2 linked regions of the Coturnix japonica genome follow. The protein of the gene in region 1 purifies or fractionates together with the protein of each later gene. This does not show direct contact. Links are inferred from orthologs where the notes say so. Each region holds a gene or a part of one and is shown on either strand. Other genes may lie near its edges.

The links.
Region 2: the proteins of ARRDC3 (region 1) and WWP1 purify together in Homo sapiens (affinity purification with mass spectrometry; 4 studies listed by BioGRID and IntAct, counting the BioPlex papers as one, with this or other methods). This does not show direct contact. The link is inferred for Coturnix japonica from reciprocal best matches to the Homo sapiens genes ARRDC3 and WWP1.

What each region holds. Positions count from the first base shown.
Region 1 is NC_029547.1:52,957,123-52,960,780, forward strand, and holds part of ARRDC3 (arrestin domain-containing protein 3), read left to right. Parts: intron 1-776; coding exon 777-879; intron 880-1,228; coding exon 1,229-1,485; intron 1,486-1,874; coding exon 1,875-2,037; intron 2,038-2,867; coding exon 2,868-3,022; intron 3,023-3,658. UniProt on the Homo sapiens protein: Adapter protein that plays a role in regulating cell-surface expression of adrenergic receptors and probably also other G protein-coupled receptors.
Region 2 is NC_029517.1:111,480,815-111,484,472, forward strand, and holds part of WWP1 (NEDD4-like E3 ubiquitin-protein ligase WWP1), read left to right. Parts: intron 1-83; coding exon 84-168; intron 169-278; coding exon 279-407; intron 408-1,455; coding exon 1,456-1,528; intron 1,529-1,620; coding exon 1,621-1,692; intron 1,693-2,252; coding exon 2,253-2,341; intron 2,342-3,658. UniProt on the Homo sapiens protein: E3 ubiquitin-protein ligase which accepts ubiquitin from an E2 ubiquitin-conjugating enzyme in the form of a thioester and then directly transfers the ubiquitin to targeted substrates.

The sequences.
Region 1 (3,658 bases):
GGAGAAATTATCACAATTCTATATATGATCTTTTTCAGAAATGTCATTTTTATTAAAATCTTAGTGTTGCAACCGCTTTCAGTAAGGAGCTGATTTCAATCTGGCTTAAGATTTCTTTTTTTCCCCCTTAAACTAATCTGTGGGAGGGGAAAAAAAAAAAAGTCCATTGAAATAGGTTTCTTGTGTGTATGAGTGAAAAACCAGACTTGCAGAACATTGGCCTTGCACAAACTCCATTAAAATCAAAGGACTCCCATTTGACTTTAATGGGCTTTGGATCAAGTCCGAAATCCTGATACCACATAAAATTAAAGTCTGTTCATTATAGATGAGACAGGATTGTTCAGAAACAGGAGAAATCAGAAGAGCTAAGGTTGTGGTACCTAAACTTAGTTATTGTTTCTGAAATGCTGTGTAATGGAAAGTGGGAAGGCCTTCCAGTAGGAAGCTTTGCCAACAATATGTTGGTATATGTAGGCTATAAAGTCTTCCAAGCCACACAGTGTTTATTTTCCAGTCACACACTGTTTTAAAAATGACAGTAGTTTAGAGGGTGGCAGAAAAAAAAATCGCTGAAAGAGCAGTGAAATAGGATGTGCCGTGTATCTGTGTTGGACCATTTAAATTGCTTGAGGTTTTTTAATTATAAATGGAACAAACTTTGCTTATCAATTAACAATAAATACATGACAAATAATTTGGAGGTATGGATTAAAATATACAAGCAGATTCATGGAACTCTCGATTAAACTGCCAATGTTGTTCTTTTTTTGCAGTCACCCCAAGCAGGCACAAAAGAAAAGACTCTCTGTTGTTGGTTTTGTACCTCAGGCCCAATATCCTTAAGTGCCAAAATTGAAAGGAAGGGCTACACCCCAGGTACGTAACAAAAGTAATTATAGGAAGTGTTTTTCCTTCCCTTTTAAAACTGCTTTCATATAAACAAAATATTACAACTACTCTTAGCATCTCAGTCTGCATTTAGCCATCATCTCAGTTTATTGTTGAAGAATGCTAGTTTTGTTTGCAGATTGTTGAACGATGTTTGCTTCCTTTTGAGTTATTCATTATTTTTTCTAGATTAGGTTATGCTGATCCTATCCTTTTACGAACAATGGATGTTTCTAAGGGTATAGCAGAGTCTAATGTGTGGTAACAGTATCAAGTGGCAGTTCACTTAAGATGCTTAGTAAATGCAAACATTACATTAAATTCTGTTTTGTTTCAGGTGAATCAATTCAGATCTTTGCTGAGATTGAGAACTGCTCTTCCCGTGTGGTGGTGCCAAAGGCAGCCATTTACCAAACACAGGCATTTTATGCCAAGGGGAAAATGAAGGAAGTCAAACAGCTTGTTGCCAACCTGCGTGGAGAATCTTTATCATCTGGCAAAACAGAAACCTGGAATGGGAAAGCGCTGAAAATTCCACCTGTTTCTCCTTCAATCCTTGACTGTAGTATAATCCGTGTGGAGTATTCACTAATGGTATGCAGAAGCATGTTTAGTTTCCACTGTGCTTAAAAAAAAAATTGCTAGTGAAGCCTTCTATGTTAGCTACAAGAGACTACATTTCCTAGTAGCTAGTACTAGTGTCCCAGCAGGAGTTTTGCAAGTGAATTTTACTTCAGTCATAAGGTTTTTTAAACAGTTGTGATTTGTTATCTAAACAAACATGTCATTAGTAGATATTTTTGTGTGTGGACTCAGATTAAGAATCCTGCTTTATAAATTGTGGAATCTGTCTCCTTAAAGACATGCACCATGAAGTTGATAAGTTCTTCCTGGAGAATTTCATGGCAAAAAGAGTTAGCAGACTAAGTATTGACTCAAGTGTACACTGTAATCATACATATTTTTTTGTTTGTTTTGTTCAGGTCTACGTTGATATTCCAGGAGCCATGGATTTATTCCTTAACTTACCACTGGTCATTGGTACCATTCCTCTACACCCATTTGGTAGCAGGACATCAAGTGTGAGCAGCCAGTGTAGCATGAATATGAACTGGCTTGGTCTGACACTGCCTGAAAGACCAGAAGGTAATGTCACAACATAAATCCTAATCAAATTGCTAGTCTTGTTGCTTTCAATTTAGTATGCTTTGTTCATTGCTGTCAGACCCAGACCACATCCTTTTATAATGAAGGTGACAGGAAGTCTCTTGTGGATGCTTTCTTGCCACCTTTATGAGCTCGATCAGAATTCACTTAGTCCTTGACTTTCTTTCTAGGAAAAATAGTTGTCATCCAGCTGTGTAGAAACTGTTGAAGGCAAAATCTCAGGATTCCTGTGTCCCTGTATAGAAGTGATTCCCTTTCCAGTATCCTAATTGCATCTTTAGTTATAAGGCATTGTAACTCCATAATAAATCCAGTTTCTGGTGGGTTTTTTGTTTTTGTTTTTTACCAGTCTTAACTGACTTGTCTCAGTGAGAAGATGCTATTCTTGTCAAAGGGAAGTCTCCCTTAACAACGGATTAGCTTCTTTCTGTGTTCTCACACATATTTGATAAACATCACTTTACTACTAAGTCGTACATTTCTAGAGTAAAGGGTTACATTCAGTTCCTTCATACTTAACCTGTACAGATACACTCAGAGTTCAGGTTGTGCTTTAAATATGAGTATTTAAAGGGTGAGGAGTTAACTAAGCCGCAGTAAGCAGATGCTGGCCTGTTAATAAACATGAGCATAACGTTAAAGTAAAATAAATTTACTCCTTTCTTAGTCTTCCTTCAACAATTTTATTTTGTCACTGAAGTCACTTGTCTACCTGCCAATGCATCTTGGAATAATAAGTTTAATATTTCTCATGTATCTTGAAATGCATAACAACTGTTGTTTGAACTGCGTGTACTTTTTCCCTGCAGCACCTCCCAGCTATGCAGAAGTGGTCACAGAGGAACAGAGACAGTCCAGCCTCCCTCCTGTAGCTGCTTGTGATGACTTTGAGAGAGCGCTGCAAGGACCATTGTTTGCGTACATCCAAGAATTCCGCTTTCTGCCTCCACCACTCTATTCAGAAGTAAGCACCTCAGACTAAATTAATCAGCATACTCTCTTACTGAATCTGAATTGTGGAATATGTGAAGTGTCAGGAAAACAATACGAAAAGGTTGAAGCTGCAATGAGTAAGGCAGCTACTTTTGTTTTTTCCTAGTGAAGTTTCTGATAAATTGTATCAAGAATCTTCCATACCGTTTTCACAGTGTGGATTACAAATGATTACATCTTTCAACCCGACTTGTGCAACCTTAAATTTGAATGTTGCCCCATTCATGTGTCTTAGCTATCATATTCTTTCCTTGCACTGAAAGCCATGACAAGATTCCTCAGAAGTCTCATTATTTCTAGAAATTTCTGAACTCTTGCTTGAAATGTCTGCAACATGTTCTTTTGTACATGTACACACACACTTAGTTTACCAACTTCATGTATAGGATGCAGTATTTTCATATAATGACAGAATGGTTTGGGTTGGAAAGGACCTTTAAGGTCAATTTAAACCCAGCCCCCTGCTATAGGCAGGGGCACTCCCACTAGACCAGGTTGCTCACAGCCGCATCCAGCCTAGCCTTGAATGCTTCCAGAGGAGGGCCAGTCTTCCAGGCAATCTGTTGTCTCGCCAGCCTCACAGTAAAGAATTTCTTCCTAATACACA
Region 2 (3,658 bases), on another chromosome or scaffold:
ATGACAGTTAGAGAAATTTGGACTGCAATTATTGTATAGTTTGTGTGTGTTTGTTTGTTTGTTTGTTTTCTCTTTCTCCCTAGAAAGGAGAGTGGATTCAAATGATAGGGTGTATTTTGTAAATCATAACACAAAGACAACACAGTGGGAAGACCCTCGAACCCAAGGGTAGGTGTGTATATTGACTGTATAAATGAAAAGATCTTGCTTAATCATTGCTTTAAAAGTCATGATATAGGCAGGAGGCAAACATCACTGCCTGAATTTTTTTTCTGCAGTTTACAAAATGAGGACCCTCTTCCAGAGGGCTGGGAAATCAGATACACTAGAGAAGGTGTACGATACTTTGTTGATCATAATACAAGAACTACCACCTTCAATGATCCTCGTACCGGGAAGTCTTCTGTGTAAGTGAGGAAATGTAAAAGTATTTTCTAACTTTTTCATTTGTTACATTTCAATGATGCAATTCTTCTTATACCAGAAAACAGTCTATGCTTCTAGCTATAATTGAGCAATAAATTTTGAACATATTGTTTTCTTGTAAACCTAATTTAAACTTTTAATTGTCAGTTTCTCTGTGCCACACTTCACCATATTACTGTAAGGTTCAATAGTTTTTATGCACTGTTCAAATACAAAGATTTTAATTACACTATAAATTGAGAAAGGAAGTGATGTAAGCCTGTACATTGTAAATTCAACTAATTTAACTAAAAGACAATTTTAATGGAAACAACAAATGATTGTAAGATGCATTGCTTATAGTTATATACGCTCTAATAATATTAATGGCTAAACAATCAAGTTCTCAATACTTGTCAAAATTTTACTTGCAGATATTCTATTTCTAAATAGGGTAATCAGATATGTTGACCCAGCTGATGGTGTCTGTCTTAATGCCTTTTGTGTATAGTAGCATTTTTATGGCTTACCTTTGATGCATCAGTGGCAGTTCCTTCAAAGAACCTGTAGATTGGTCTAGTATAAATTTCTTCTTGGTTCCTCAAACCAATGAAGCCTTTATAACCTATGTTAACCCCTGGTGATTATGATGTGATTAAGTTCATACTGCAGCCTTTCTCAGTGAAGACAATATAGTAGATGTCTTTCCTTTATCTGGCTTTTAATTTTTATGAAATTGATAAATACTTGAAATCCTCAGAATCTCTACCCTTGAGTAGTATCTTTAACTTGAATAGTATCTTTAACAGCAGCAGCAAAAAGGTATGTGTGGCAAGGGTGAGGAAAGGAAGACTGGCCAACCAAATGTTTAGTTTATTTGGGAAATAATACAAAAAGGAGTTGGGACATATATTAAGAATTTCCATTTCTGATCATATCTTACGATTGCAATTTTTTGTGCATTTTTGAAATCTGCAAACTCTTGTTTAGTGTTGAAAGTTCTGTTTGATGTCTGTGTGGTTAATGTGTCTCAAATATATTCCCTTACAGAAATAAAGGGCCACAGATTGCCTATGAGCGTAGCTTTAGGTGGAAACTTGCTCATTTCCGTTACTTGTGTCAGGTACTGATTAAGTAATTACTTAGTTTTTGAGACTTTTTGAATTTTCATAAACGTATTTTCTGCCTTGTAACATTATTACTTTATGATTACAGTCCAATGCACTGCCAAGCCATGTGAAAATCAATGTATCCAGACAGACTTTGTTTGAGGATTCCTTCCAGCAAGTAAGACCGCAAAATTTGTTACGTTTATAAGCTCAAGTTTTTCAGCTTCAGTCTGTAGCCAGTGTATATTCCTTCTTCTTTGTAGTGATCAAATGCTTCCTGCCCTTGTTACATCAAAGCCTCTTTGAGTAGGCTCCTCTTAAACTAAAAGTGTATTATCAATGAAAGTATATTTCACTTCAGATCAGAGGAAAGCACGTTTTTAGGTTAGTTTTCTAAACATCTGTAGTATGTGAGATGAAAAGCCTTTTACCCAATTTTCCTTTAAGACTGGGAGATAATGTGTACCTTCAGAGCTGTATAAGAAAAGGGCAACCATGTAGTGATAATTTCCAGATAAGCTCTGCTCCTTGTTCACAGTCTGCTACTCAATCTGAGTTGGTATTTTTTTGTTCAGTTCCTTGACTGCGTGTTCCATGAGTTGCTGTAATTGCTTTTCAAATCCCTGTAAACATTTATCCTATGTGGTCTATCTGTAACAATTAAATCTAAATTTGAGGGAGCAATTGCATTGAAAATACATCATTTATAATTCAGTATGAATTTTGTTCATTTGATAGATTATGGCATTAAAACCCTATGATTTGAGGAGAAGATTATATGTTATATTCAGAGGAGAAGAAGGACTGGATTATGGTGGATTGGCAAGGTAAAATAAAATTTATTTGGAAGTGTTATTTTTTCCTTTTCTTTTTTTTTAATGGCATTCTAATTATGATTTCTCATGTCATTCAATTCAGAAAGTAACTGCTTGCTTTTACAGTCTTGTCTTGGTTAGTTCTTTAGCTCCCCTTAATGTAGTAAGGAGGTAGAACTGGCAGCTTTGGCAATTGTTATGGGTAGAAATTATATTAGTAAAACTATGATCTCAGTTCAGTTCATTGACAAAGACTAATGCTTACATTGGATTTTAATTTTATTTTGTGCCAGTAAATTTTTCTAGACAGAGTTATTTCAGAAAGTTTCTACCATGTAGTTCAGCTTTGTTGAAAATAGGGATTGTGGAGTACATAATTTTGCTTATTTAGGAAAAAATCAAACAGACAAATGCAGATTAGGGGATGATATAAGCAGAATGGCTGTGAGCTAGGAGAGAGCGGTGCAGGCGTGAAGTAATGGGGGAGAACTTTGCAGGCTGTGCAGGAATGCCCAAAAGCTGGAGCACGAGTTTTTCTAGAATCTGAAGTGGATTCAAAGGAATTTTAACAAGAAAATCATAGGTAAAGTGCATTTCCTTTATTATCCATAATGTGGATAACCACTGACTATTGCAACCAGTTACTTGACTGAAGTGTTGCTATTATGCTATTAAGATGAAAATGTCAGTTACTACTGCAGGTCTGCTGAACCCGATGTAGTGGTAGGTGATAGAGGTGGTCTTTACTGTGTTTTTGTTCTTTGTTTTTTTCTTTTTAGAATGAGTCCTGTTTCAGTTTTATTCTGTTCCCAGTTAACTTACTGTGTTAAAATGTGCAGTATTTGTAAGGAAACCTTACAGTGTTTGTGAACACTGAGCTTTTTTGGATGTGTGTGCTTATGTTTCTGAATTACAACATTATAAAAAAATGTTGGATGACTGCAGGGAGAAATCCACTTTTTTTCAATTAATTAATTATTTTTTTTTTAATATAAGTTTTGTTTTGTTTCGTGTTCCTAAGATGTTGCCCCTGGGCTTAAGCTGAGATCCTGGAGAGTTTAAGTTACCTGTTCCCAAGAAACAGAAATACTCCAAAGAATAACTGAACTAAAGGGTATCGGTTACGGAGTATGGCAGAATAAATTAAAAAAAGAAGGATGCAAGTAGTAAAATTCCATAGATTTTGTAATAAATCTTACCCAAGACACGGGATGTGAAGCTAAGAAACAGCAAGGGCCTCCTTGTAATACAGATGAGAATTCTGAAATAAATGCTCACATACTGACTTGCTCATGCAATACTGTGTTAACACAAGTATTGAAAGCCACT